Linked DNA regions of Callithrix jacchus. The protein of the gene in region 1 purifies or fractionates together with the protein of each later gene. This does not show direct contact. Links are inferred from orthologs where the notes say so. Each region holds a gene or a part of one and is shown on either strand. Other genes may lie near its edges.

What was found.
Region 2: the proteins of AKIRIN2 (region 1) and IPO9 purify together in Homo sapiens (affinity purification with mass spectrometry; 3 studies listed by BioGRID and IntAct, counting the BioPlex papers as one, with this or other methods). This does not show direct contact. The link is inferred for Callithrix jacchus from reciprocal best matches to the Homo sapiens genes AKIRIN2 and IPO9.
Region 3: the proteins of AKIRIN2 (region 1) and RAN purify together in Homo sapiens (affinity purification with mass spectrometry; 3 studies listed by BioGRID and IntAct, counting the BioPlex papers as one, with this or other methods). This does not show direct contact. The link is inferred for Callithrix jacchus from reciprocal best matches to the Homo sapiens genes AKIRIN2 and RAN.

The regions. Positions count from the first base shown.
Region 1 is NC_133505.1:93,759,948-93,770,224, forward strand, and holds the end of AKIRIN2 (akirin-2), read right to left. Parts: intron 8,512-10,277; coding exon 8,368-8,511; intron 6,767-8,367; coding exon 6,617-6,766; intron 5,647-6,616; coding exon 5,575-5,646; intron 5,332-5,574; coding exon 5,321-5,331; 3' UTR 4,635-5,320; downstream 1-4,634. UniProt on the Homo sapiens protein: Molecular adapter that acts as a bridge between a variety of multiprotein complexes, and which is involved in embryonic development, immunity, myogenesis and brain development.
Region 2 is NC_133520.1:28,866,385-28,876,817, reverse strand, and holds part of IPO9 (importin-9), read right to left. Parts: intron 6,395-10,433; coding exon 6,306-6,394; intron 4,464-6,305; coding exon 4,377-4,463; intron 2,211-4,376; coding exon 2,091-2,210; intron 1,983-2,090; coding exon 1,882-1,982; intron 1,682-1,881; coding exon 1,623-1,681; intron 1,021-1,622; coding exon 869-1,020; intron 1-868. UniProt on the Homo sapiens protein: Nuclear transport receptor that mediates nuclear import of proteins, such as histones, proteasome and actin. Serves as receptor for nuclear localization signals (NLS) in cargo substrates.
Region 3 is NC_133510.1:134,084,192-134,095,113, reverse strand, and holds RAN (GTP-binding nuclear protein Ran), read right to left. Parts: upstream 6,310-10,922; 5' UTR 6,279-6,309; intron 5,818-6,278; 5' UTR 5,808-5,817; coding exon 5,772-5,807; intron 5,592-5,771; coding exon 5,507-5,591; intron 5,425-5,506; coding exon 5,299-5,424; intron 3,846-5,298; coding exon 3,658-3,845; intron 3,118-3,657; coding exon 2,947-3,117; intron 2,849-2,946; coding exon 2,804-2,848; 3' UTR 2,455-2,803; downstream 1-2,454. UniProt on the Homo sapiens protein: GTPase involved in nucleocytoplasmic transport, participating both to the import and the export from the nucleus of proteins and RNAs. Switches between a cytoplasmic GDP- and a nuclear GTP-bound state by nucleotide exchange and GTP hydrolysis.

The DNA.
Region 1 (10,277 bases):
GAGTACTTTAGAATCCAACAAACAATACATAACTAAAACTGCTCACATATTTTACTGTACTTTCCAAAGTCATTAGTAAATTATGAGTAAATCATTCTTGAACTTATAGTATATAAATGTAATAAATTCCTTCATCCAGGAGTATAATTTGCAGTTGATTTAGCACACCTCATTCCTCCTCCCCCAATTTCTTGCATTGGCATTCCTCACTTTAGTGTAGTAGACAATAGGTAACATGAATATCCTCCAGGTTTGTTTCTGCTGGTGACTACATAGGTTCCAAAACTGCCTCTGCCTACCCATTTCCTTTAGTCTTACAACTTAAAAAAAAAAAAGGTCCAAACTGTTTGGCTTTATGCTTAAAGGCAGTAAATATTCTATTTCTGGATGACCCATCATGGAGCCAGTAAGGCCTTTACAAATCACATCCCAAACAAATAAAAATCAGATGAAGAAAGTAAGGCCTAGATGAATGACATCTTGATCTCTTCCGTGGCAGAAACTCAAGACATAATGAAACAAAGTTAGCTAAAGTTTCTTATTTAATAATGCTCTGTTCCTAAGAGAATTCTGGGACTTTAAGATTACTCACTAACATACACAATTACCATGCGTATATTTTGTTTTGCAAACCTTGGAACTATGTAATTGCAAGATTGTGTGTGTGCATGTGTGCTAATAGGCTTTGAAGAGTTTTATGAGTATCCATTATCCAAAATGCTTGGAAACAGAAGTGTTTTGGATTTTAGATTTTGGAATATTTGCATACCTACAAGTTCAGCATCCAAAACCCAAAATGCTCCAGTGAGCATTTCCTTTGAGCATGTCAGTACTCAAAAAGCTTCAGATTTTGGAGCACTTCAGATTTGAGATTTGGGATATTCAACTTGCATAATCAAACCTCCTTCATTCAGGGATGTAAAAGGAGGTATTAATACAAACTTAGAATAAAGAACACCTTAGACCTCTGCCAACATGGTGGACTGAGATGACATTAATGGGTCACCCTTCTCACCTCACTCTCTGCTTCAAGCACATAAAAATGCTAAATGAAATATATCTCAAAAAAAATGTCTGGCTGGGCACAGTGGCTCACACCTGTAATCCCAGCAGTTTGGGAGGCCAAGGCGGGTGGATCACCTGAAGTCAGGAGTTCAAGATCAGCCTGACCAACATGTAGAAGCCCTGTCTCTACTAAAAAATACAAAATTAGCCGGGCGTGGTGGCACATGCCTGTCATCTCGGCTACTTGGGAGGCTGAGGCAGGAGAATCGCTTGAACCAGGAAGACGGAGTTTGCTGCGAGCCATAATCGTGCCACTGCATTCCAGCTGATGCAACAAGAGCGAAACTCTGTCTCAAAGAAAGAAAGAAAAAAAGTCAAAATGTTGCCAAGATTAAAAAAGAAGGGGAGGCCCCAAGGTACCATAAATAATCAACTGGAAGAACAGCAAAGGTGGCCAGTGTGGACAAGGCAGAGTGAGCAGTAAGAATTCAATAGGAGTTGAATGGGATCGGGTGGAGGGCAGGTAATTTAGGGCTCCATAGACCATTGTAAGGTTTCTTTACTTAGGAAGCCACTAAGCAAGACTTTGACTTTTAAAGGATCAGCCTGGTTGCTATGAGAGTAGAATAGAATGGGTGAGAGGAGACACAAATGAGGCAAAATAAAGACCAGTTGGGAAACCACAGAAATAATCCAAGACACTAGGGTAATAGAAGTAGAGATGGTAAGATTTTAGGTGGAACTAAGCTTAAAGGATGTAAGGAGTCCAAGACCATTTCTGCCTGAAAACCAGTCATTAAGGATGATGGAGAGGAAAAATTTCAGAGGCAAAAGTAAGTTTTAGACATAAATTTTGAGGTGTCTAGTAGATACTTAACTGAAGATGTCACACAGGTTAATATAATCTGATGTCCTTATGATGAGATCACCAAGATGAGTACTAAGAAGAGGTAAGCAGCCCAAGGCGGAGCTCAGGGGTGGGGGGGACACATCAATGTTTTATCAAAATTTAGGGAAATGAAGACTGGGCTGGCAGCAAAAGACAAGACAGAAGGAGTAGCCAATAAAGGAGAAACATCAAGCTAAGTGTAGTATTTTGCAAGTCAACCGAAGAGTGCTTCAAGGTAAAACGCTAGCTGCTGTTGAGATTTAACAATGTGGAAATCTTTGATGAGTTTTACTAAGAGTAGTGGAGACGAAGCCTAATCACCTATCAGATGACCAAACCGAGTGTCCAGACTTAACAGCCTGGAAAAGCCATAACTGTGTGATGCAATATGGAAACCACAGCATCACCTTGCACTCTTGCACAAAAAGTTTAACTTGAAACTTACAAAGACTTTAGGCCTAACTTGCAGTTTACAGGAAGTTCAAAGGGATATTAGAAGTTAAATTAATGACACTACAAAGAAAAACTCAACAAGACAACAGGACTAGTATTTCCAGAAAGTGAAAATCTTAATTGAATCCTGTTTGGGGGATGAGGGTACTTATTTTAAAAAGAGACACATGAAAAAATCTGAAGTGACTTGATGTTAAATTTTAGGTTGGACAATGGTATTATTATATAGAATCACATTCTTAGGAGATGCATGTTTAAGTATTGTTATGTCTATGACTTCCTTCGAAATAGTTTCATACAAAGCAAATATGGCAAAATATTAATAACTTCAATTTAAGTGGACCATTATACTATTCTTTCAACTTTTCTGTTGGAATATTTTTTCTAATAAAACAAGTTGTTGAAAAAAGGAGGCGGTAATAAAACGGAGGAAGTTTAGAAAATCCTTGAGTTTTGCTTTTATAAAGGGGAGCAGTAAAATAATCACTAGCAAGAGATATAGGATCAAAAGATTTTTTGTTAACATGATTATGCTTTTGGAAGTGATTTAGTAGAGAAAACAGATGCATTAGAGAGAGGACTGTTGGAGCTGTATCCTTTGCCTGAGACATGGGTTTGCATCTAGTGCTCCTTACCTAGGGCAAATGCAGGAGCAGAGAATTCATCAGTAGACAGAGTCAGACTATTAGGGTGCTTTTGTAGAATAATCACTTAACACCAATTACTAAACGATTTTGAAGGGAGTAAAGAGAACCCAAACGGGGCAAAAACAAGTTATTTTCAACCGTAGCTGCTTGGATCACCTAGGCAGCATGTTTAGATTCCAAAAGTTCTCCCCTCCCCCTAATTGTCTAAAGCAGTCTCTAGGGATAAGTAGAGCCTGAGAATCTTCTATTTTCTTTAGGGTCTTGCTATAGGCCAAAGACAGCTTCAGTATTTTAAACATCCAATATTTATTTTTCTCAGATTGCTTATTTTTCAAAAAATACAAAGAATTATAGCTATGTGCACTTGTTAATCAGAGATTTACTAAACAGATCATAGTACAGTACCGTATCAGTACTGCCTTTTACTAAAAGAATAAGATGACTGTTAACACAATTCTGTAGATACTAATTACAAGCAATTTGAGGGATTTGGGGAATTCAGAATCCCTAGGTAGCTAAAATAATCTTCCTATTGAAATCATGTGTGGTTGGTATTTGGACTAATCAACTACTGGACCCATTTAAGTCAGAGTAGCCTATAAGCTAGGACTTTTGAGTAAGCGATAATGCAGACATTTGGCTGTAAAAGAAAAAAAAAATTTTTTGCGACAGTCTCCCTGTGTCATCCAGACTGGAGTGCAGTGATATGATCTCGACTCACTGCAACCTCTGCCTCCCAGGTTCAAGTGATTCTCATGCCTCAGCCTTCTGAATAGCTGGGACTACAGGCTATCCTGCTAACCAGTGGTTCTTAGCTAGGAACTCTTTTGTCCCTCAGTGACATTTGGCAATGTCTGCAGACACTTTGGTTATCACAGTTGTGGGAAGGGGTTTAACTGGCCTCTAGTGGTACAGGCCAGATACGACTAAATATCCTGTAATACGCAAGAACAGCCACCACAACAAAGAATGATCTGACCCAAACTGCCAGTAGTGCTGAGATTGAGAATCTCAGTTCTAAGACCATTAAATGGAGGTAGAATTATGCACCTTGTTGGCACCTTGTGCTATACCAATGTTCCTCAATCTAATTGACATACAAATTGCCTGGCCACCTTGTGAAACCACTTTTTAGGCTTGTTTTAAACAAAGAATTGGTGAAATCTAATTACCAACACTAAAAAGGAAAAAGTAAATCCCTTTTCTTTTACTAACTTGATCAATTATAAATGTATATTTAAGATTGTCTTAAATTTTGGAAATATGCTATTAGAATTCAACAAAAGGATTCACTGAAGCATTTTTTTGCTCACTTCATTATAAGAAAGCTATGTCTGGAAACCGTGTATGGAAAGAGTCAAATTTGCTGAATCATGCTTTTTCATATAAAGTCTTTAAAAGAAAAAAAAACTGGATTCTACTGATAGCTGAGGTAAAAAATTCTGTAGCAGTTAAGGTATCTATAATATTCTATCAAGGAGTAAATTACAGAAGGAATTTAGAATCAGAACTCAGTTTTTTGAAATAGCACTCAAACCTTAGAAAATTAACTTCACTGATTCCTGGAAAATGCTTATGTTTTAAAACACCGACTTTATTTGAATACAACCCCCCATCTGTACATTAAGAAACAAGCAGAACAGAATTAAATGTTTTATTCTTCCAACTAAATTCCAGTACTACAAGGGCAGTAAAACAATGATACACTGGAAAAAAAAAAAATGCAGCAATAAACATTTGTTAAAAAGACTGAGAGAATAAATAAAACTACCAAAAAAAAAAAAAAAAAAAAAAAAAAGAAAATCATATAAACCCACTCTGAAACCCCAAGAAGTCCTGGAATAAGAAATGCCCTCCTTCATTATTTCACAGGAAGCACTGCAGGCTACTTGCTTAATTTTGTCCTGGGATTACATTCTAAAATTAGTAACTGGTTACAGCTTGGTTGTAGTGCACAATTAAAATCACACTAACTTCATCTGAAGTGTCATTCTACAGTTTTATTTACACAACCAGTGAAGGGCATGTTCTAGAATACCAGCTTTAATCCTTTTCAAACATTAATATAAGAAGCCAAATTGTAATGATACAGCAAAATGAGGCCACTGGTATTAATACAGGTAGCAAAGGTCCACATCCAGGTGGTATTGACATCAGGGAAATTTCCAAAACCAGTTGCTGCTGCCTAAGAGTGGTTGCCACTGACGAAAGCTTGAAATAACCTGTATTCACAGAAGGGGTATTGGCATTGCTGCATGTCATAATTGGGACCTCTTGCAACAACTCAACAAGGAACAAGGCAGCCCACAAATGTAGAATACGTGATTCATGAAACATCTAAAGGGTGAGAAAAGGAAAATTAGTGCAAAGTACAGGTTAGAATCCAAACAATTACTAGATCTTGATTTCCAATATTGCCCCTAGGTATTTAAGTAACCAAAAGACTTACAAAGTTACACTATTTCCTCCATACATTTTCAGTAATTGTTAAATTCTCTTTTTGAGTATGAAAATAATTATGTCTTCTCCTTAAAAAAGAGTCTTATTTTCAGTTTATAACTTCAAAAGTGAAATACTTACAACTAGCAGGCTGTTCTCCATATCGTCGCATTATTTGATCATGGGTAAACTTCACAAACGCGTCATATTGTTCTACAAATAAAGGTACATGTCAATTACATGATTTGTAAAATGCCTTAACATTAGAGCCAGATAAACTGAAAATACAAAACATATAGTAAAACAATTCTAAGTTGAAACTTAATCACTTACATAACCTCAGTAGTACTAACAGTGTATCAAATAAAAACAGCATGGAGCTTACGAGTCAGGAAACCTAGGTTTTAGTCCAATCACAGGACCTGACATACAACCTAGGTGAGGTTTATTTCTTTCCTAACAATTAAAAACAAGGGCTTTCAATAAAAAGACCTTTCTACTCTGAAAGTTATTGTGTGTGGTCTATGAATGGCAACTGACTGTAATGAGAAGAAACAGGATAACAAAAGCTAACAAAAAACAACCACCTAAAACCTAATCAGGTATCACAGAAAAAGGTGTTATACATCTAAGCAAATTCTCTTCTCTACATTAACACTTTAATTCCTTAAAAATCAAAAAGGTTATATATCTATATAAACATTAAATGTGTGGCTAAATATTCTATTTATGTTATACATAATAAATTTTATTTGCTGCATTTAAATTATCAAATTTTACTGAATTTCTTTGATAATTAAAACAGGACTACAGTTTGATACTCAAATGACTTACATAGTGACAGCAAATTCGTTATTTTAAATGTCTAGATTGAGGTCAAAGTTACGAAACATATAAAGTCAAAAAATCCACAACCAAATTGAGGTAAACAACTAAACTCAGTTTTTAGTACAGGGTACATACTAATATTACTGCGGATCTACACAGCTAGCCAATACTCTCTTCCTGAGGTTGCCAAGGTGGGCCATGAGCTACAAGCTTTATTTCCTTTCCTAAACTGAAATTTTCTCATTCTCAGAGAATATACCGCACTAGTATATAGAAAGTGAAATTAAAGTACACACAGAAAATAATGCATTTCTTACAACTGAGTTCCTTGGAAACTAATAAACACATCTCATACCTGCAAGTTTTGTGTTCAATATTTCTTCATATTCTTCTCGAACTTTCTCTTCACGTTCTTTCAACAAACGTTCACAGATCATCCCAACCTGCCGTAGAGTAAATAAGGGCTGTTCTTTTTTTAATGGTGAGGATGCTGCAGATGAAGTCCCTATGTAGAATAAGGACAAAAAAATAGCACTTGGTTTAGAGCCACGAGAGAAAGCAGTTCTTTCTCCAAATGAAGAGATTTCATTTGGGACTCTTCAATGTTGATATAAAAGCATTTTCAAGTCAGTTTTTGACCACAGCATTTCACAAGTCTCAAAATAATAATTTCATGCTGGATAAACACAGCGAGATGTAATCAGAGAAAAAAGTCTAAAGGTGAGTTGAAAACCTTTAAGCATAAGCAAAGCATAGTGGTCCACACCTGCAATCCCACCACTTTGGGAGGCCAAGGTGGGACAGGCATTCAAGACCAGCCAGGCCAACATAGTGAAACCATGTCTCTACTAAAAAAAAATGCAGGTTATAAGGAGCAAGTAAAGACAGGAACAGTGGTGGTACCAGGGCAAATACACAGAGCTAGATGAAGAAACAATTGATAGGAAATGAGTGGTGTACCTGAATGTGTATAAAATACTTTTAGCAGTATTATAGATGGCTATGGCTAGTCTCATTCTGAGGTCTCAAAGATTAATTTCAGATATTAAGAAGATAGGAGGGATGTTTTTGGAGAGATTAGGGTACCTTAAGTGGTAAAGGAGGAACACATTTCTGAAGAAATCTTATTTTTTTTTGAGACAAGAGTCTTGCGCTGTTGTCCGGGCTGGAGTGCAGTGGCATGATCTCGGCTTACTGCAACCTCAGCCTCCCAGCACATAGTATTCTGTTAATTTTTTTTTTTTTTTTTTTTTTTGAGACAAAATCTCACTCTGTCGCCCAAGGTGGAGTGCAGTGGTGCAATCTCAGCTCACTGCAACTTCAGCCTCCTGGGTTCAAGTGATTCTCATGCATTAGCCTCCTTAGAGGCTGGGGCTACAGGTGTGTGCCACCATACATGGCTAATTTTTGTATTACCAGTAGAGACAGGGTTTCGCCATGTTGACCAGGTTGATCTCAAACTCCTGACCTCAAGTGACTCGCCTACCTCACCCTCCCCAAGAGCTGGGATTACAGGCATGAGCAATTGTGCCTAGCCTGTTAATTTTTTTTAATAAAGGCTACAAATCATAGTACTTAGAAGATGCCCACTCTAGAGATATTATATACAGGTGGTTGTCTCTGGTTAGCAGGAATCCAGGTGGTAATCTCTTACCTTGTCCCTTTTTTTTTTTTTTTTTTGAGACGGAGTCTCGCTCTGTCCCCAGGCTGGAGTGCGTGGTGCAATCTCGGCTCACTGCAACCTCTACCTTCCAGGTTCAAGCAATTCTCCTGCCTCAGCCACCTGAGTAGCTGGGATTACAGACACATGCCACCACACCCGACTAATCTTTGTATTTTTAGTAGAGACGGTGTTTCACCATGTTGGTCAGGCTGGTCTCGAACTCCTGACTTCATGATCCTCCTGCCTCTGCCTCCCAAAGTGTTGAGATTTCAGGCATGTGCCACGACACCTGGCCTTGTACATATTTTTAAGATGTCATGTATTACTTGTATAAATTTTTTAAAAATCAGAGGATATAGTAGCTTAAATAACTAAAGGCAACGTGGATTAGACTTTTCCCACTCTAAATAATAAATTTTGCAAGTGAAAAGAAACGTTATTACCTGGTGAAGCTGGTCCACTAAGGAGAAATGCATGTGGCTGTGCATCAGAAGTACAACATGGATCTGTCTGTTGGAAACTTGTTTCTAAATGTCTTCTCTTCTGCATTCGTTTATACTCTTGTTTTATGTTGTACAGAATTTGTTCTAAAAGAAAAAAAGTTAAAATTTGTCAAGATAAAAATTTTCGCATTCAAAAAACAAAAAGGTTGGCTTTCCAACAATTATTTAGTAGACCAATCTACCCAAAATATTCCTTTCAAATAATATCCAGGAAACTGACATTCTGGTAGGAATTTATTCAGCATAAATGGTGACATTCCCTTAGCACATACACACCAACTGGAATTCAGGTGTTCAACAATATCATTCTTGCTAGGGGGGAGGAGAGAAAGCACTGAACAAAGGCAACTGTTGTCATAAGAAAAACTATTTTGCTGAGAACTTTACTAAAGGTAAGAACCACTATTGACGATTCTCTTTTAGCAAAACCATCAAGTAGCCCTTTCCCAACAAAAGGTAGGTTAAAAACAGATATAGGATCAAAAAAAAATAATAATCCACCTTTAGAAATCTATCCCAATAAGACACGTGTGCAAGGAAGGGGATGTGCACAGGGATATTTCTTAAAATAATATACCAGCAAAACTTCTAAGTGCACTGACTGGCAAAAATTAAGTTTTTCAATTGAAATAATGGTCAAAGAGTCTGCGAACCAAAACACTTAGTGTTTCAAACTCAAAGCTCATTTATTCATCACATAGGACTATTACACTAACAGGCTTTTCCAATTGCCTTTATGCCTTTTCCAAGCCCATAAATAAGAAGGAGTGTGGGGGATTATGTGTATTCAAGCACACACCAGTGAGAAGCGATAGTAGGTCAACAAAATGACAAAGTAGATAGGAACTAAAAAATTGGCCATGGCCAATTATTTTAAGCTCAGTAAAACCTAAGAATATTACAGCATTCTGAATCTTGGGGCTGGAGGGTGGGTGAGGGGTAGACCATATAAAGTGATTGGTGCATTACAGATCCTCAATAAATAAGAACCACTACAGTACAGTGCAATTATCTTGAACCACAATCATAGAAATGAGTAAAACTGTATCTGGCATATCCTTTAGGGTTATCTAAAGGGTTTAAAGGCAATTATATTTTGCTCTGAGAGAGAAAGTAAGCTTCACTCACATTCATTAGTTTCTGCTCAAAGCTATTATTATCCTGATCAAAAGTGCCATTCAAAACATGATAAAGTTTATTTATAACCAGATATTTTAGGAGGTACTAGCTTGGAGTAACTTGACCTTAATATTTACCTTTTGTGTGACTTATATACATTCTTTCAACACCATATAGCTGTTCTCAGATTTAGTCTTCCTACTGCTTCACAAATCAACCAAAGCACAACTAAAATGTACTAAAAGAATGGTTGTATAGCCGGGCGCGGTGGCTCACGCCTGTAATCCCAGCACTTTGGGAGGCCGAGGCGGGTGGATCACGAGGTCAAGAGATCAAGACCATCCTGGTCAACATGGTGAAACCCCGCCTCTACTAAAAATACAAAAAATTAGCTGGGCATGGTGGTGCGTGCCTGTAATCCCAGCTACTCAGAAGGCTGAGGCAGGAGAATTGCCTGAACCCAGGAGGCGGAGGTTGCGGTGAGCCGAGATGGCGCCATTGCACTCCAGCCTGGGTAAGGAGCGAAACTCCGTCTCAAAAAAAAAAAAAAAAAATGCTTGTATAATAACAACCTCAGTTTGTTCACTGAAAGCTAACCCAGAATTAAGATACAGTAAAACTTTAAAAAATTTATCTTTGTGAAACACCATACCATCAGATACTTAGGAGCATCACTAACAATTTTAAGGTATAATTTACAAATGACAGAATTCACTCTACAATTCGCTGAG
Region 2 (10,433 bases), on another chromosome or scaffold:
TGGCATATGCCTGTGGTCCCAGCTTCTCAGGAGGCTGAGGCATGCAGATGGCTTGAGTTTGGGAGGTCAAGGCTGCAGTGAGCTGTGTCTGCACCACTGCACTCCAGACTGAGCAACACAGCAAGACCCTGTCTCAAAACAAAACCAAAAACACACCAAAAAACTCTAGCTTCAAAAATCTTTTCTTTCTGATGTAGACAAACAAATAGTATCAAGTAGCAAGGCAGGCAGCAACAGCTACCGCTCTCTTTTAGAATCTGGCCAATTACCAGCTCTCTGCCACTGTCAACCAGTTGTTACCCTTTGATAGATTGACTTTCTGAACATATTAAGTCTGATGGAATATTTACTTTGAAAATTAGGTCAATTCTTGTGCTGTTTTAAACAAGGCATTATCTAATTTTGAACATTCTTTGCTGGTTTTAATGACCCACCATCAGGCTAATGGTTGATCTCTACATTTTACTATAAGGAAGGAACAGATCTAAAAATCAGGGTCTTAGGTTAGTAGTCCTGTGAGATTTTCTAACGGCAAAAGCAGGCCAGGCACAGTGGCTCGTGCCTCTAATCCCAGCAATTTGAGAGGTCAAGGTGGGCAGATTACTTGAGCCCAGGAGTTAGAGACTACTAGCCTGGGCAACATAGTATTTTTCTACAAAAGAATAAAAAATTAGCTGGGTGTGATGGCAAACTCCAATACCTTGCATTTGGCAATAAAATGATGTCACAGCTTTCCTAGAACTTCACATGAAATTATTTGTCTTGTGTGTATTTTTAGAAATAAAGTGTTCACTTGACCAAGACTTCACATTCTTCAAGTTGCACTTTCCAAATACATGATGGTAACTGTCTCTCGAATATTATTTACCTGCTCCTCAGTGATTTGCATGTACAGGATAATATAATAAATCAATTCAGGCAAGGCTTTCTTAACAGTGCTTTTGAATTTGCTATTTTCTAGTAGAGCATGAACAAATTCAAAAATGCTAAAGACAAGATTTTCAAAGCCCAGGACTTCACCTACAGGAAATATACAAAAGAAGAAATTAATGGCGAGAAAGTAAAAAGAAAGCATACATGCTGAAAATGAACTATATTATCTCTGTAAATTATTGAATATTTAAAGTACTTGCTAATAATTATTCCTGAGGAATTGGGAGAGGGCTCAGAAGTCACAAAACAGAATTTTGAGGACATTAAATATTCTTTGGTTTTTCAAGTAAAATAACCAGAAACACTGAATATATTTCCCAGTATGTCTATTTTTCTAATCTGAAATACTTCGAAATATTAAAATAGAAATAAAAGACTCATCAACTGGGACACCAAAATGAAACATGACAAAATGCCAGAAACAGGCTAGATTAAATGGTCTTAAAAGCATCTCTTCCAACTCAGAAATTCTATGATTTTATGAGATTTATGCAAATACCTATGAGGAACAGACTGAAGACTGTCAATTCTTATTTCCTCACATCTAATATACTGAAAATAAACTCAATTAGAAAACACTTAATAGAATGAAGCCTCTCAAGTTTACTGTTTTTTTTACCTCCTGTCTCTGGCTTCTTTTTCTTTTTCCACTAAGTGGCATTTCTATAAAGATCAAATAAACTACATACCATCAGAATCCACGGGATCTTCTACTTCTTCTGTGTAATTTACTTCTGTCCTCACATAAGTATGATGAAGAGTAAAGAAATAGAATTTGGAGTTTGCTTTACATATAATCTACAAGGAAATGTTACATACTCCAACACTAAAAGTAGACACCTTAAAAAGGCCTGTTTAAGAAGAGTAGAACCACATGAATGAGAGACCCAATGCTAGATTCCTAACTATAGGTGGTAGTAGCTCCCTTAAGCTTTCAAGAAAGGATATAAAGCTGCACTCTCAGTTAGGGTGTTCCAAACAATAGGCAGAATCTGCTGCATGGAGGACACCATGTGCTTTGGGAAGTTTTTCACTAGGGCTGTCACTGCCTAAGAAGTTAAGAGAAAAAGATCCAAGTTATGAGTGATATATAAGAAATCAATGATTTCAGACCACCCTCTCAAACTCCAAGTATTTCATTGGTAGGAAGTGTTTACCTTTAGGACCTCCATCTTAAACCCACTGTCAGATGTTGGGCCATCTGGTATCTGGAGGGCCTGAACAAAGGCCTCTGTGAACTGCTGTACCACGGGAAAGATCAGGACTTTGGCTGCACCCTGATAACAGAAACCAAAGTCGATGCTGGATAAATCCCTAATCCAGTCAATGCTTGAAAACATATGTATCAAACACTGATATTTGAAAGGCACCTGAAGCTCTCTTCAGGTTCCGAGACAGACCAGAAGAGAATAGCTATAAGGTCAGTGAAGGTGTTACCCAAAGTTTCATTAACCAGCACTGGTAGTTCTTCATCACAGCCCTCTTACAAACTGTTACGCAAGACCGACGACTTTCCTCATAACTGTTTCTGAATCACAGGGATTGCTTTGCTTCACACAAAAGGGGCCATAAAAGAGTAGGAAAGTTCTGAGTGATGACTACTGCGAAAAGGATATAGGATAAAGTGTTTGAAGAAGTAAGACTCAAAAGGCGACTAAGCTTTTTTTTTTTAAGATAATTTTTAAGTGTGAGGGAGATCCATTTATTAGCATAAGTTATTCAATAGCCTTATTTAAGGCCAGAACCCAGTGATTTTTAATTGAAAATACTGGCTGTGAATTGCTGGAAGTTTTAATAATGTTATCCCTGTCTTGAAATTCTACTACACAAAATTGAGTCAAAGAGCATCTGTGAGTCACCTGAATTTGTCTCCTGGCCAGCTGCATATTTGATTTTGAATCATTGTGCTGCCTTGGATCCAAGGCACTGTTGTTCTCAGCTCTAGACCTTGTCATCCTCTCTAGTTCTGTTTTAATGATGAGGGATGGTAAACTGGGCTGGGAATTGAGAGATTAATATTTGGATTACATTTCTACCACAAGGAGTTGCATGACCTGTGATTAGAGACGCTGGCATTTGATGATAATTCACTAAAAAATTGCCATACAACTTATCGCCATGTCGCCCAAAGACATCCAGCATTTAGAATTTATCATTCCTTTAATACAACAAACAAAACAAAATACACTCTAGGCCAAATTCACATCTGGTTGGGAATCCTAGTATCTCTGTGGTAGGGGTAGGGTTCAACTGTTCACAGCATATTTTTCTTTGGTTTCCTACTCTTCATTTCCTGCTTCTGTTAAATTCTTATTACCTGTCTGCATCTCACCTCCTGGCCATTTTTTCCCTTCTATTTTTGTCATTAACTCCATATATGGAAGACAACTTTGTCTTTAATTTTCCACCAATTCTCTTTTACCCAAGACAGTGTATCTTGCAAATTTTTACTGAAAGTCTGGCATAAAGCATGCGTGTGTGCGCGCGTGTGTGTATGTAGATTAAGCTTTTTACAAATTGAAAATTCAATCAGGCCAAGTGTGGTGGCTCACACCCGTAATCCTAGCACTTTGGGAGGCCAAGGTGGGAGGGTCACTTGAGCCTAGGAGTTCAAGATGAACCTGGGCAACACAGGGAGAGACCCACTCTCTACAAAAATAGATTCGTTAGGCCAGGCATGATGGCTCACGCCTGTAATCCCAGCAATTTAAGAGGCTGAGACAGGCGGATCATGAGGTCAAGAGATTGAGACCATCCTGGCCAACATGGTGAAACCCCGTCTCTGCTAAACACACAAAAATTAGCTGGGTATGGTAGCACGCACCTGTAATCCCAGCCACTCAGGAGGCTGAGGCAGAAGAATTGCTTGAACCCAGGAGGTGGAGGTTGCAGTAAGCCGAGATTGTGTGACTGCACTCCAGCCTGGCAACAGAGCAAAACTCTGTCTCATAAAAACGACAACAAAAAAACTCAAATAAATAAAAAAATAAAAATATAGCTGGGTGCTGTGGTTCATGCTTATAATCCCAGCACTTTGGGAGGCTGAGGTGGGAAGATTACTTGAGCCCAGAAGTTCAAGAGCAGCCTGGGCAATATAGTGCAACCTCATCTCTACAAAAAAAAAAAAAAGAGAAAAGAGGATCAGCCAAGTGTAGTGGTGCACATCACACGTGTAGTTTCTACTGGGGTGGGAGTTGCAGAGGTGGAAGGATTACTTAAGCCCAGGAGTTCGAGGCTGCAGTGAGCCATGATTGCACCACTGTACTCTAGCCTAGGTGACAGAGCAAGACCTTGTCTGGAAAAATAATAATTTAATAAAAATGTGTCTATCTCTAATACTGGTTAGTGTGCTTTTTGGTGCTGCTATCATGAAATGACTCACTGCTTTGCATGAATAAGACTTTTAAGCATGAAGTCTGTTATTGATCCAAAGACCCGCTTACCTTTTCCAGCTCCTCCATGTTACAGATCATATGGGCACAAGTGGTAAAAATCTCCACAGCTCGGGAACGGGTTCGAATACCATAGACCTGGAAAAAAGGTTACAGAATAGCTATGAGATTAGAGCATGTAGGTATGTGTGTATCTCTGACTAGAAGTAAAGCTATGACTAATGAATCCTCACATGACATTAGATATCCTTGAGAGATGGTAAATGTCATTCATTTATGTCCAGGAGGCAGACTTCCGTAATTGAGAGAATGAAACATAGTAGAATCATAATGTTGGAACTTACTGTAATGAACCTTATATATGGGCTTCTGGTTCATTTGATTAATAACCGGGCCGGGCGCGGTGGCTCACGCCCGTAATCCCAGCACTTTGGGAGGCCGAGGCAGGTGGATCATGAGGTCAAGAGACTGAGACCATCCTGGTCAATATGGTGAAACCCCATCTCTACTAAAAATACAAAAAATTAGCTGGGCATGGTGGTGCGTGCCTGTAATCCCAGCTACTCAGGAGGCTGATGCAGAATTGCCTGAACCCAGGAGGCAGAGGTTGTGGTGAGCCGAGATCGCGCCATTGCACTCCAGCCTGGGTAACAAGAGCAAAACTCCATCTCAAAAAAAAAAAAAAAAAAAAAAAAAAACCACCAGGCTGGGTAGTGCTTAAAATCCCAGCCTGGTGGGATTTTTGAGCAAAAATAAATAAATAAATAAAAAGCAGGAGTTGCAATTCTCACATCTGATAAAATAGATTTCAAAGCAACAAAGATATAGTGGTAAAAGGATCAATGCAACACTAACACCCAGATACATAAGACCCATAAAGAGATTTAGACTCAACAAGACAGAAAATTAATAAGGATACCCAGGACTTAAACGCAGATCTGGAACAAGTAAACTCAATAAATATTTATAAAGCTCTCCATTTTAAATACACAAAATATACATTCTCCACCTTAAATACACAAAATATTGATCGGCCATTATTAATGCCCATTTTTAGAATAAAGCTACATTCCCATTCTCTCTCCCTCTTTTTCTTCCTCTTTCACTCTCCTTTTTCCTTCTTCCTTTTTCTTCTCCTTCACTCCTTTTTTTTTCTTTCTTTAAAAAAAAAATCCTAACACAGCCAATATATTTCCTTTAAAATGCAGATCATTGGTTGAGGGCTGAGGGGTATAGGGAAGTTAAAAGATTATCAGGGATTTATACCTTATTATAAATACGTTATTCATATACACACTAATCAAATATACATACAATATATTAAGGGTCTATTATGTGCAATGCAGTGATAGATTGCTTCCAATTACTTAGCTGAGGTAGGCAAGCTGAGGTGGGATAACTCAATGAGGCTGGAAGTAGCATGAAGGCACTATTTATTTACTTAGGGGCTCCTGGATGCCAGTAAGTATGATATGTGAAGAAATATTTAAGCTATTTCACTTTTTTGTTTTTTGCGATGGAGTTTCGCTCTTGTTGCCCAGGCTGGAGTGCAATGGCATGATCTTGGCTCACTGCAACCTCCGCCTCCCAAGGTCAAGCGATTTTCCTGCCTCAGCCTCCCAAGTAACTGGTATTACAGGTATGCACCACCATGCTAGGCTAATTTTTGTATTTTTAATAGAGACGGGGTTTCTCCATGTTGGTCTGGCTGTTTGGTCTTGAACTCCTGACCTCAGATGATCTGCCTCTGTCAGTCTCCCAAAGTGCAGTGATTACAGGTGTGAGCCACTGTGCCTGGCTATTGCACTCTTTTATCAAAGGCTTGCCCTTATAGTTGAGTGAAAGGTCCAAGGTTAATTCAGATTTCAGTTCTAGTCTTTAGATATTGACATCAGTTACAAACACTATAATCTCCCAACTGAGAGGTGGGGGCTGACGAGAGCCTGAACTCACTATAATCTTGGAGCTGAGATTTCATACCTCAGCCATGGTGAAGATCTTATACATTTCTGGGAGAATGACAGGAGCAACAAGTGGCATCTGTGTGTCCGTCACTTCTCGAGTGAATTCTACGAAGAAAAAAGCAGTACTGTTAAAAAAAAAAATACTGCTTCATACAGATATTAAGCGTGATATTTGTGAACTGCTTCTAGGTGGCAGTTCCCAAACAGACAGGACACAGGTAAAGACAGTGGCCTGGTGGTCTCATTCTGTGAAAGCAAAATTAGCGAGAGTTGCTGATTATTTGTTAGAAGGAGAAAGAATAATATGGAAATAGAGAAAAATACAAGAGATTAAAAAAGAAAACAATACAAATACTGAAAGAAAATCTGTAATAGAACTATGTAAAAGTCCTTGTGAGGTAAACTTGGAAAATTCTGTATTAATTTATCATGTGCCCATTTGTCAACATTCAGTTACACTTTGAGGTTTCTTACCTTTGGTTCTGTTTTCAGTACTTTTGCTTGGCAAGCTAGTTTGATGCACATAATATAACATGTACAGACTTAGTAGGCCTCAACTCTATTTTGTATATTTATTGACCTAAAAGTTAGAGGCTGTTACTAACTGGAACAAAAAGGGATTTTCTACATAAATGTGGCAAAAAAGCATCCTATACACAGAATGAGACTTGAAGAAGGTGACGGAAATATGGGTCGTATCTTTCCTTTCACTTCTTAAAAAAAAAAACCCACACCACACACAAGGCACTGAGACAGCACAAAGGACCCTGGATTCATGTTACAAAGAAGCAGGATAAAAGCCCTTGAGTTCTAATAAGTATTCACTTCACCTGATGCTTTTCTACATTATCACTATAAAAATGGAAACAGAAGCTGTGCACAGTGGCTCACACCTGCAATCCCAGAGCTTTGGGAGGCTGAGGTGGGAGGATCAATTGAGGCCAGGAGTTCAAGACCAGCCCGAACATAGCAAGATATGCCACTACATTTAAAAGGAAAAAAAAAAGCTGCATGTGGTGGCATGTGCCTGTAATCCCAGCTACTTAGGATGCTGAGGCAGGAGGAGTAAGCTACAATAGGGCCACTGTACCCAAGCCTGGGTGACAGAGTGAGACCATACCTCTAATAATAAATAAATAAATAGCTAACCACTTGGGACATTTTGGGGGAAGATACACAGCTAGAAACACAAGTTGGCAGAGTGAGACCACATCTCTAATAAATAAATAAATTTAAAAAAAAGTTAACCACTTGGGACATTTTGGGAGAAGATACACAGCTAGAAATACAAGTTGGCATTTTCAGGATTAATGTACTCAATAGTTTTGGGCAATATCAATCCCCATGAGTCAAATGAAGATAAAATACTCAAGGATGAATTTTCTTTACTAGCTGTAATTTCTTCCTCAAGAATAAAGTCTGAGCTTTGAATAGTGAGTGTTCTATTTTATTTAGAAATCCAAGGAAATTAGTTGAAATAAACATAATAGATGGCATAATGATAACAACCTTTATGAAAAATATAGTATGATTTCTTTTTTTTTTTTTTGAGATGGAGTTTCACTCGTCACCCAGGCTGGAGTGCAGTGGTGCAATCTTGGCTCACTGCAACCTCTGCCTCCAGGGTTCAAGCGATTCTCCTGCCTCAGCCTCCTGAGTAGGGATTACAGGCGCCTACCACGCCCAGTTAATTTTTTTATTTTTGGTAGAGACGGGGTTTCACCATGTTGGCCAGGCTGGTCTTGAACTTCCAACCTCAGGTGATCCACCTGCCTTGGCCTCCCAAAGTGCTGGGATTACAGGTGTGCGCCACCACATCCAGCCAATTTAATTCTACTAATAAAGCGCTTACCTGCTTTTTACTCTCCTATACTCAACCCTGGTGTCAATTTATTAATATTTTATAGGTTTAATTCCAAAAGTTTTCTGAAGTGATTCTGCAAGTCAGAAAAATTCTGGGACTCCAGCAACACCTCAATCTCCAAACTTCTTTGAGACTGAAGAAAAAGCTGTATCTGTGGATCAATCCTTAGCTGGTATGTTTGCATTTCCTTCACAACATGAGCCTTAGTCAGTTCTCATCTATAAGTAGATAAGTTTAAAAGGAAGCCTCATTAAAGGGAAACTGGTACAGTATCTTGAAAGACTCTGAAGAGAATCAGTACCATTCTCCTAATGGGCCTCTGTCCATCGCCAATGTCTTGCTATCCTCGTGCATGCCTAAGTTTTTGTTGTCAGAGCGTTGTCTGCCCTTGTTTGAAAATATGTGGAGCAATTATTTGGGAATAGCACTTGGCTGCCAGCCATTCCATGTCTGGTGACTCCATTACAAAAGGAGACAAATTTCCCCAACAGTTCTTTCCCTGTGGCTGGCAGAAAAGTGATCTCACTGAACAGTAATTTCCTTAGTCAAACACAATAAGGGCTCTTGAGCATCCAAATCAAGATAAATGTACAAACACCTTTACTCTCCAGGTTTGTCAAAAGAAGCTGAATTTCATGTTGGAAGTCTGAGAGGGAATAGGTTTCCTTTCGTTGGTAGAACATGTATCTGTTAATCGATATACTGGCACTATGAAGTTGTGAATAAAGAATTCTAAAAGGCCAATTCCATGGAGAGGGGTGTGTGAAATCACCTGAATAATGCATGAGTCATAAAGGAGAAGCAAGGGCAATAAGCAGGGAAGTAAAAATCTGAGCAAGGAACATTTTGATCTTTTTGGTAAGTCTGTTCTGTATCTGGGCTAAAAATTGAAGCTTTGTCACAGGCAATCAATACGAATATCGTGGGTAATTCAAAAAGACAGCTGGGGCATGGGAAGAGGTGGTTTTGAAACAAAAAGAGAAAAAAGACTTGTATTTGGCAAAGAGTTGATATTATCTACCATTAGTATCACACAGACTAGCAAAATTGGACCTATGTGCTAAGTTCAGTAAACTGAGATTCAGAGAGAATAGAATTGGCATGCAGAACCAGGTAAGAATACATTTCAGGTAAACTAGCAGGGCATACAGAAAGAGATAAGGTATTGGTGGGACTTTGACAAACCTGTGTGAATGAAGGACAAAGATGATTTCTAAAAGATCAGTACAGGATGACTAAAGTCCAGGTAAGAATTTCTTGAAGGCAAAACAGAGTAGTGACTTCATCTAGGGAATAGAAAGCAGGGAGGAACTTGCAAAGGACTGGGAAACTCAGGCCATCCCTAAGGACATATGAAAGTAGACTCTGGGTGGGATTGACAGATTAATCAGGTTTAGAAGAGATATCCATCAAATCTCTTTGAACTAAAAGCTGAAGTTTTCTTTCTTTCTTTCTTGCTTTCCTTTCTTTTCTTTCTTTCTTTCTTTTGAGATGGAGTCTTGCTCTGTTGCCTAGGCTGGAGGGCAGTGGCACGGTCTCGGCTCACTGCAACCTCTGCCTCCCTGGTTCAAGTGATTCTTCTGCCTCAGCCTTCCGAGTAGCTGGGACTACGGGCGAACGCCACCACACCCGGCTAATTTTTGTATTTTTAGTAGAGACAGGGTTTCACCATATTAGTCAGCCTGGTCTCGAACTACTCACTTCATGATCTGCCCGCCTCGGCCTCCCAAAGTGTTGGGATTACAGGTGTGAGCCGCTGCACCCGGCCTAAAGTTGAAGTATTTTTATCAACTTCTCAGAACAGAGAAAAAGAAAAGATACTGAGACTGCATATTCTTTAACTGGCCAAATGAAGGTCAGGATTATATGGCTATACTGTTTTTATCTTCTTTTTAATATTTCTATAAAAATCCACTTTACAATTCTTAACTTTGCCTTGGTTGAACAAAGTGGAAAAATAATATATAATAATTATCAAAGTAACTAAACTCTACTGAACATGTCAATAAAGACAGATTAGCTATTTAAACTATACCAAAACCTTTTTTATGCAGACACTACTAACATCTTAATTTTATATACAAGGAAACTCAGGCTTAAAGAAGGTAAGTGAAGGATCAAGGTGAAGAATCCAAAATCTGAATACTCAATCACTATGCTATTACTGTATCTGTAAGTGGTAAGGTTTGGTAGTATATGTAATACTATAAAACTTCATTCTCTAGAAAAATACAATGGAGCTGCAGGGTAGATGCAGAGATAAAAACTAGGAGGAATAAC
Region 3 (10,922 bases), on another chromosome or scaffold:
CAGACACAGGGCCCTTGCCTTCATGGCAATTCGACTAGGCAAGGAAAGTTACAACTGCAGATTTGCCACGCTGACTAGGGCAGAGGGAAGCCGGTGACGTCTCCAGTCGGACATCTGACTCACCTAAGGTACAAAACCAGTGAGTGAAGTCTGAGGAGGCTGAAGCGTTCACTGGTAGGACTGTCTTCAGGAAGGGGAGGGACTGTTCTGAAAAGCGGCATGCACACAGCTGTGTCATCTCTGGATGCATGTGACCAGAGAGTACAAGGCCTGGTAGCAAATGTGGAGCAGGGGAGACACATCACATTTGTTTTTTGAACAGGACTCTGATCCCTTTAACTAAAGGCAAGTGGTTAGGTGGTTTCCCTCCCCACCACGCCCTCAGCTTGAAGGGTACAAGGTACTGCAAGGAGTTAGGATGGGTGCTGTCCTAGACAGGGGGAGCCTAAGTCTCACGTTATCTTGCTGGGGAGGATACCCGCAGCCCCAACGTGGCAGAAAACAGTATACACGATGTCTGACAGATTACTGGCAAGAAAAGCTGAATCCCTCCCTCATTTCATTTGCTCAGCAGGTAACTTTGTGTTCCTCATCTGTTTTGCAAAAGAAACCAGAAATTCTGTCCTTGAGTTCCTCCAGGTGAAGTTAGCCAGGAAAGCAGTCCTCTTTGGTTCTAGACATTTTATGATTGATATGATCAAAAAACCCCATCCTAGTTTTTCAAAAACTGGCTCACACAAATTTAAACTGCTCTCCAACACTTTACCACTACCAATTTACTGGTTATTTCAGTATATACCGACAAGACAGGCCCTGCAGTGACTCTCAGTGCCTCTGCTCTAACAAGCGATTACTGGTACGCAGTAACTTTGTATAAAGCTTCAGGCCTCCCCCTTTAAGGCACCAGACTTCAAAAGATGGAGAGCATACTCTTCCCATTTGTACAATCTGGATAGAATTGACCCCTCCCCTCCCCACTCTCCCCAGAAAACATAATAATCTCTGCTAACCATTCACTATTTCCTAAAGCAATACTAGAGAAGATTCAGAAAATCCAGGCAAAGTAGAAGCAATATATTTTGCAACAATTATTCTTCCAATGACTTGTAAATCTCTCCCACACCATGTTAGACAGGTAAGTGACATCACTTCCAAATTTCAACTGTTACACAGAAGATCCAGAATGTCAACACCACTTGCATTCTACACAAGGTTACAAACAACACATACACCTTAAGTTCAAAATATCTGAATGAAAGCTTTCATCCCAGTTATGGGAAAAAACTTCCCATCTCACACAGGCTGGTTAGAAGCTGGTTCTGAATAGTGTCACAAACACAGCAATTAAGATCTTAAGACACTCGAGGTCTGTTGCCAGTTAATACAGTAAGTAGAACGTGATTCAGCTTCACCTTTTTCGTTTTTCCATATATTTAAGTGATCCTTTCTACACCTTTTAAAGTAGGAAAGTAATCATCTCCAGATAATCAGACATCTAAAGAAAACTTTGGTTAACTGGACTGTAGTAGTAACTGAGGAAAAAATAGCTCTTATTTTTAAGATTCCTAACTTCTACAAGAATAGCATTGATGGGATCGAACTCCTAATCAGGATAGACCTAATTCATTTTAAATGTGGAAAATATACAAGATAAATTAAATGTTTAGTCTGATAAAAAAGTTTCACAGCTGTTCTCTGCCACTGAGACGCCCCCCCCACCCCGCCCCGCCCCACCCCACCCCTGCTCCACTGTGCCACGTTCCTAGTATTCCATCCATGCCCTGCTCCGCTGCGCTGCCCTACAAATCCTCAGGGCAAAAAAAAAAACCCCAAAAAGTATAGTGTGTGTACTGCTTAAGAACTGAATGTTAAGACATCTTGAAAGCCCGGGAGTACCTGAAAACTGGGTAAACACGGACCATTTTCCTTGAGTATCAAGTTAACACTAAGCATCTGACATTCAAACAGAAAGTGCAAAATTTATACTTTTTAACACCAAGAATTCCCAAGCTCCCGCCATCCAGACATTCCATCCTGTTTGAAGTTATCAAAACATTACTTTTGCCACAAAACAAAACCAAGTATTACCCTTAAAATATCTATTTGGTATGTACAAACCACATTTTTGTCGACAGGTCACAAATCTTGAGCAGGTTCCTCCCAAGAGGGCCCTACCTACCCTAAATGAAGGTGGAACAGACATCGCTTTACTTCACCTGCACAGTCTTTACACCGTTTAACTCTCCTAACCAAACAGTCTGTCGACCTGTCATGCTGAGTTTGTGAGACACAGCTCAAATGTACAAAAATAAAAAGTAGACATAGGAAGAAATTAACCTAACAGATTTCAAATTAAGGACAGCAAGGCAATCCAAACATTAACATGGCATAAATATCTCTATTTTAGTGGCTTCAAAATGCTATTTTTAAACAAGGGATGAGTTCACTTGCTTAGATATTTGAAATACAACTTTATTCTGATTCTAAACGAAAAGGAATGGGAATGACAGTAACAAACAAGATTTCACCACTGAATATTGTGATGTGACTGCAGCAGTCTCATATCTGAAACTCAAGGAATCAACTGCGTTCCGAACAGCTAAATATGCAAGTCCAAACAATGAAGGTGTATTTTAAACTGCCATTCACTCCGAAGCCCACTCATCTCCTTCAGCATCCCACAGATGAAGCACATGTTCCGCTTAGCTAGATAATAATGAGGTGGCACACACGCTGCACCGCTGACATCACAGGACAGCTGCCTATAAAACTAGACTTCTGACGCTGGGCTCCTGCTTCATTCTCACAGGTCATCATCCTCATCCGGGAGAGCAGTTGTTTGAGCAACCTAGATGAAGAGAGGAACACTGTTAACACTCCAGCTCAAAACTGCCAGGAATACACAAGCCAAACACAACAGCCTGGACAGCAAAGTGGCCACAATACCTCTAAGTCGTGCTCATATTGCGCTGCCAAAGCTGGGTCCATGACAACCTCCGGTGGGGCAAGAGCAGGCATGGCAACAAATTCCAAATTAGGGTCTCCAATGAGCTTCCTAGCAAGCCAGAGGAAGGGCTTTTCAAAGTTGTAGTTACTTTTGGCAGAAATGTCGTAGTACTGTTTAAAAAAGTAAAAATTAGTTTTTAAAGTTGATTTTCCCAGAACATTCCAAAATAAGAAAAAGATTCTTGGTGGGGCATGGTAGCTCATGCCTGTAATCCCAGCACTTTGGGGGGGATGAGGTAGCAGGATTGCCTGAGGCCCGGAGTACAAGATCAGGCCTGGACAAGAGCAAGACCCCATCTCTACAAATAATAAATTAGGTGGGCGTGGTGGTGAGTGCTCGTGGTCCTAGCTACTCGGAAGGCTGTGGGAGGACTGCCTGAGCCAGGAGTTCAAGGCTGCAGTGAGCTATGTTCATGCCACTGCACTCCTGCCTTGGCAACAGGGCAAGACCCTGTCTTAACAAGAGACACACACACTTCAGTTGACCAACCCTGACAACAGTGAAACCCCATCTCTATCAGTCTTTAAAAACAATAAAAATAGCATAAAAATAAAATTATTTCCATATATAATATAGACTGGTCAATTTCATGGTCTTACGTATCATCTCCTCTAAGAGAAATAACTCAGGAAGTTTTAATTTTCACACACCTGAAGATTCTTCTTTCGGTGGAAGACAATGGATTTTGCCTTCACTTTCCTGTCCTTAATGTCCACTTTGTTGCCACATAACACGATGGGGATGTTCTCACACACTCGCACCAGATCTCTATGCCAGTTAGGCACGTTCTTGTAAGTAACTCTGGATGTTACATCGAACATTATGATGGCACACTGGGCTGAAAGGAACATTTGTGGTAGTTAGTACACTTAGTTTACTACACACATGAAGAATGCCAAGAACCAGTCTAGGATTCATCTGGTCTTAGACCTCACCGAGTCTCCTAGCTTTCTCCCTTCACTTCCAATTCTAAAAATGTCAATTCGCAATTTCTAAAAATGTTAATTCACAATTCTTCCTAAGCAAGATGAGCTGACCCCGTCAAACCTCCCTGATACACTTCATCATTAACAGTACCCTCATCCCAAAAAGTATCTCGGGTAGATTAATGATAAGTGAGATTCTGCAGAACCGAGCTGCCATATTCTGAGGGTAAGGGGCCTGCAAACACCTTCTTCAGAAGGTCTTTCAATGGCATGGCTGACTATACCAGGAAATATTCCTGTCTTAAATCCAGACAGGCCAAGCGATGTGGCTCATGCCTGTAATCCCAGCACTTTGAGAGGCCGAGGTGGGTGATCACCTGAGCTCATGAGTTCGAGATCAGCATGGGCAACATGATGAATCCCCATCTCTACAAAAAATAAAAATAAAAATAAATAAAATACAAAAATTGGTCAGGTATAGTGGCCTGTGCCTGTAGTCCCAACTACTCAGGAGGCTGAAGTGGGAGGACAGCTTGGCTCAGGAGGCAGAAGCTGCAGTGAACTGAGATCACACCACTGCACTCTGGGCTGGGCCACATAGAGACCCTGTTTCAAAAAATAATAACAAACCCAAATAAAGTCTATATATTCACCTGCAGGGCCAGCTATGGCATAGTTGATAAAGCAAGAATCCACAACTTTTTGGTTAAAAGATTTTTGGGGGGAAATTCTTGTGTTTATTTGTACATACTAAAGGAAAACAAAAGGCATGGAATGATTCCAAATAATTTGTTATCAGCAAAGTGAGGATCCAGGAGAGATGAGTATTTCCTTTACTCCTCTTTTTGGTATAATGAACGTCTTCCTTGCAATTTTAAAAATCAATCTATTTGAGAAAAATACTCTCCGCAACTTAGTACAAACAATGTAACAAGAAATCACCTAGTCTTGCATAACACTTGCTAAGATCCCTATCTTCCCTGGTGTTTTTTAATGGAGTACAAACAATCATTGATCACTACGTCTAAATTCATACCTGAGCCTGTTTTCATATACTGAACTGCTCTAACAGCCTGTCTGTGATTGTTTTAAACTATGACATGTACCCAGTGTAAGTCACAGTTTCTTCTAAACCATGCCTAGCATGACACAGCATGCAAATAACACAACTTGCATAAAATGTTCTCCTCTGCCACCAAAATGGTGGTCAGCTCCCCGAAGCTCACGTTTTTTAACCCAAAAATGACACAGTTCCCCTAACAGTATTAAGCACTGTTTGCCGGAACCGGCCTGATTTTCTATAACCTTGAAGGATGCAGTACACAAAAGCTCTCAGCAACGGTTCAGCAAGTCACGGATGCTTACCTTGGATATAGTAGCCATCTCTCAGTCCGCCGAATTTCTCCTGGCCGGCCGTGTCCCACACATTGAACTTAATAGGTCCTCTGTTAGTGTGGAACACCAGGGGATGAACCTCAACACCCAAGGTGGCTGCGACGGAAGCGATGCCAGTGAGTGGGCGCATTGACCCGTTTCCCACCCGTGTCCGCGAACAAGGTGCTCCCGCACATACCTACATACTTCTTCTCAAATTCACCAGTCAGATGACGTTTCACGAAGGTCGTTTTTCCGGTACCACCGTCACCAACCAATACAAGCTGTTGGAGAACACATTTTGGAAGTAAACCCAGAACACTTCACCTCTCCGGATCCCAGAGTCCGCCACGCCAAGAACGCGGACGCGGGGCCCGGCTAACAGCCATCGTGGGCCCGGGAGGAGGGACCGCGAGGCGCACGCGGGCCGGCCCGGCCGCCGCCCGCCCCGCAGGGTTACCTACTTTAAACTGGACCTGGGGCTCTCCCTGCGCAGCCATCGCGGCGTTCCTGCGGAGGCAGAGGACGGAGACGAGCGCTCGCGCGGCCCCGCAGCCCATGGCGGCCCCGCTCCCGCGCCCCCCGCGCCCCACGTGCCCGCCCCACAAAGGCCTCCCGCCCGCGGCGCCATGGCGGCCGGGCCTGGGAGCGGGAAGGCGGCGGGCGGGGCCGGCATCCGGGGCAGCGGGACCCAAGGAACGACGGACGGGGGGGCCGGGATGGAGACGAGACTGGGACCGGGAGCGGGATGGGAGCGCGGGATGGAACCGGGATTCGCGGGGGCGGGCGCCGACCCCACGCCCGTTTCTTCCCCCGGCCCGGCCCGGCCCGCGCCACCCACCTACTCACAGCCGCTCGCTGCCCCGGGGCCGGCCACCAGCCCGGGCCCTGACCCCGGCCGCGGCCCCTGTCCCGCCGCCACGGCCCCTGTCCCCCCCACCCCGGCCCTGCCCGGCCAGCCGCGTCGTTACCTTCCAGAAGCGTCTCCGCGCCCGTCCGACTGAGGCTGGAAAGATGGCGGAAGCGCAATTCAAACGCCTGAGACGCAGCCGACGCCGGCGCGCGGCAGGGGCGGGGCAGGCGCGGGGCGGGGCTGACAAGGGGCGGAGCAACGGTCCGGTGCCCGCCCACGTGGACCGCGCGTGCGCGCACGCACGCAACCCGGCTCGGTGGAGCGCAGGGTGGGGCGGTAGGCGCGGTGGACCGCGTGGGAGGACGAGGCGGGAGCGCGCACGCACGCCGACCCGCGGGCCCCATGTGCGCCAACACTCAGGGCGGGCTCCCGGGCACGCATGCGCCACTGGTGAGGCGGCGCGCTCCTGGCCGGGAGATGCTGGGCGCGGCGGGACAGGCGCGGCCCTGCGGCCTCCCCGGCGGGAGGCGGGATTCGCTCGGGCAGACGCGGTCAGGCACGCGGCTTCCAGGCGCTGGCCAGCCTGTCGTTGTCTGCGCCCCGTGGAGTGAGGGTACTTGGGGTCTTTGGGGCATAGGCCGGCGCAGGACCGGTAGGTGACAGAACGAATGAATGAATGAATGGGTCCTAGGCCGGTCCCCCAGGGTCAGCCCGCGCCTTTGTCTCCCCAGAGCTTAGCCTTCACGCCCCCAGGCCCAGGGACAGTTGGAGAGCGAGGCATCAGAGAGGGATGCGCCCACCCAGAAACACGGGTGCTTATTTCTTTTGAGACGGAGTCCCGCTGTATGGCCCAGGCTGGTCTGGAACTGCCAGGCTCACGCAGTCTTCCCGTCTCGGCCTCCGAGTAGCTGGGACTACAAGCGCGCGCTACATCCGGGCTGATTTTGTTTGTCTTAATTGAGACACAGGATCTCACTGTGTCTCCCAGTCTGGCCTCAAGGGATCCGCCCTCTTCGGCGTCCCAAGGCGCTGGGATTGCAGATGCAGTCACCGCGCCCGGCCATAGCACCCCTTCTCGGAGCGTTTCATAGGTCGGCAGCCATGGCGGCCGCATCCTACAAACAAAACGATGAAATTTCGTTTGCGGTGTGGGCGGGTCTTCCAGCCGTAGTTACCCTCGGGGGCGGAATGAGGAAGTGCCCAAGCTCCCGGCCCCCTGTGGAGCTGAAGCTGTGAAGAGCCTAGGCCAGGTTGAGCTAGAGGGACCCCGACCCACGGGTCCTTCCTGGGCGCCCCTGCTGACATGCAGACAGATAAAGGCCCAAATCAGCGCAGTCAAGCACCTCAGAAAAGAGTTCCCCGTGGGGAAAGAGCCCCAGGGACCCAGGGGTCCGCCCAGCAGTCACGAGCACACTTGCAGGCGAGTCCGCTGGGAACCCCAGTGACGCAAAGTGCGCACAAGGCGCGCGAGAACCGGCCAGCTGGAAACGCAAGTCCAGGGACCCTCGGGAACGCCAGCCACCTCTCAGACGCTGCTGGTGGGAGAGCAGAATCTAACAGCAAAACGGGAATGCCCGCTGCTTGTGACCCTGGATTTCCGTTTCTAGGGAGAGGCCCTGAAGGGAAACTCATGCCTCATGCATGTGCACAGCATTTAATGCTGTAGAACATTGGAAAGATGGTCATCTGTTTGAACAGGTTAGATAGATGTCAAAAGGATAATGTTGAGAAAAGAAGTGATCATATCTTTATAAAGTCTAGGTCACCTGTAATCTCAGCACTCTAGGAGCCTGAGGTAGGAGATCCCTCAAACCCAGAAGTTCCAGGCTGCAGTGAGCAATGACCGCACCGTTGCATTCCAGCCTGGGAGACAGACCAAGACCCTGTCTTCAAAAATTAATACATAGACCAGGTGCGGTGGCTCACGCCTGTAATCCCAGCACTTTGGGAGGCTGAGGTGGGCAGGTCACCTGAGGTCAGGAGTTCGAGACTAGCCTGGCTAACATGGTGAAACCCCGTTTCTACTAAAAATACAAAAAATTAGCCAGGCGTGGTGGCGTGCGCCTGTAATCCCAGCTACTTGGGAGGCTGAGGCAGGAGAATGGCTTGAACCTGGGAGGCGGAGGTTGCAATGGGCTGAGATTGCACCACTGCACTCCAGTTTGGACAACAAGAGCAAAACTGTCTCAAAAAAAAAAAAAAAGAATATGTAAAGCCTAACACTGTATGTAATTTTGCCTAGAGGGAATATATACACACACATTATATTTATAGCATAATGCCATTTAGGTAATATTTTTACAAATACACAGAACAAAAGCATGTTGGTTATTGGATATATGTATTTTATTTTTTAATTGACTGCAAGGATCCGTACACCATATCCTGATGGTTATTCCTTCAGGAAAGGGTAGAAAGGAGTGATGGCACTGAGCAGAGGAGTCAAACAAGACTTTACCTGCAATGTTCTATTTTTTTTCTTCTTGTTTTTTGAGACAGTTTCACTTTGTTGGTCAGGCTGGAGTGCAGGGGCGCGATCTGGGCCCTCCACAACCTCCGCCTCCCAGGTTCAAGCGATTTTCCTGCCTCACCTTCCTGAGTAGCTGGGATTACAGGCCTGCACCACCATGCCCAGCTATTTATTTATTTTTGTGTTTTTAGTAGAGACGGGGTTTCATTATGTTGGCACAGGTAGTCGAGTGATCACTTCGGCCGCACGTATACCAAAATTGGAATGATACAGAGAACAGCATGGCCCCTGTACTAGGATGACAATTTTTTTTTTTTTTGAGATAGAGTCTTGTTCTCGTCACCCAGGCTGGAGTGCAGTGGCGCAGTCTTGGCTCACTGCAACCTCTGCCTCCCGGGTTCAAGCGATTATCCTGCCTCAGCCTCCTGAGTAGCTGGGACTACAGACACCCGCCACTACACCCAGCTAATTTTTGTATTTTTAGTAGAGATGGCTTTTCACCATGTTGGTCAGGCTGGTCTTGAACTCCTAACCTCAGGTGATCCACTCGCCTCAGCCTCCCGAAGTGCTGGAATTACAGGTGTGAGCCCCCGCGCCCGGCCTTGCAGAGTATTTTATAGGCCAGGTGTTTTGTACACTGTCTTTTCATTTGTGTTTCTCTGATACTTCCTCATCATTAGATACAGCTCATGCAGTTTGGGTAGAGCAACCACAAGATGATGCTGTGTCCTTAGTGTCTGATCAGGAGGCACAGAGTGGATCTGTTTGTTTTTTAGCGACAGGGTATTTCTCTGTTTACCCTGATTGGAGTGCAGTGCTGTGAGCATGGCTCACTGCAGCCTTGAACTCCTGGGGTCAAGTGATCCTCCCACTTCAGCCCCCCGACAACCCCCCGAGTAGCTGGGACTGCAGGCACGCACCACCACACCCAGAATTTTTTTTACTTTTTTGTAGAGCTGGGGTCTTGCTATATTGCCCAGTCTTGTCTCAAACTTCTGGCCACAGTTTTCCTGCCTTGGCTTCCCAAAGTTTTGAGATACCAGGCATGAGCCACTGCACGTGGCCCAGAGTGAGCTTTTAAAACCATATCAGATCCTCCTCCTCCACTCGTAAAACCTTGCAGTGATTTCCTATTTGCCTCACTTAGATCCGTGAAATCTGTAGTCAGGGAGGTCCCATGGGCTCTAGCTCATTTCTACCTCTCCCACCTGGGCTCCTGCCTCTCCCTGTAGCCTCACAGGCATTTCCATATCTTAACCCCAGCCAAATTTGTTCCCACCACTGGACCTTTGCACTTACTGGTTCCTCCGCTTAAACTTCTCTTCCCTTGGCCAGGTGCAGTGGCTCACGCCTGTAATGCCAGCACTGGGAGGCTGAGGTGGATGGATCACTTGAGGTTCGAGGTGCAAGACCAGCTTGGCCAATGTGGTGAAACCCCATCTCTGCTAAAAATGCAAAAGTTAGCCTGGTGTGGTGGCACGCATCTGTAATCCCAGCTACTTGGGAGCCTGAGGCAGGAGGATCACTTCAGCCTGGGAGGTGGAGGCTGCAGTGAGCCATGATTGTGCCACTGCCAGCCTGGGCAACTGAACACGACCCTGCCTCAAATAAACAGACAAAATGCTGTTCCCCACACATCTTGGCCTGACTGGCTCCTTCCCACCCTTCAGGCCCCTGACCACCCCCAGGCCTTTGCCACCTCAGCACCCATTTTATTTTCTTCCGAGCACTTACTGAGAACATACTGCTTAATTATTTACATGCTTGTTTTTAAATCTGTCATTCCTTCACTAAAATAAGGGACATACCATGTCATGATATTCCAAGTATCTAGCCCGGTGCCTGTCACATAATGTATGCTTACAAATATTTATTGAAACATTGAGCGAATTACTCTTTTTGTGTTTCGTGTTTGGTTTTCAGAGGCACAGTCTTTGTTGCCTGGGCTGGAGTACAATGGCATGATCATAGCTCACTGCAGCCTCCAACTCCTGGGCTCAAATGAACCTCTTGTCTTCGCCTCCAAGTAGCTTGGGTCATGGGTGTGTGTGCCTCCTGGGTGAATGAATGACTCATGCAGGAAGAGGAATGAGACAGCAGCATTCTATTCCAATAAGAATAATAAATATGCAGGCCCATTGAATGTTAATCATGGCACTTCATGGCAAAGACATCTTTGCCTGCACTGTACTCCAGGCTGGGGAACAGCATGACCCTGACTCAAAAAAAAATTTTTTTTAATTTAAAAATAAGGGCTGGGTGCAGTGGCTTATGCCTGTAAACCCACTTTGG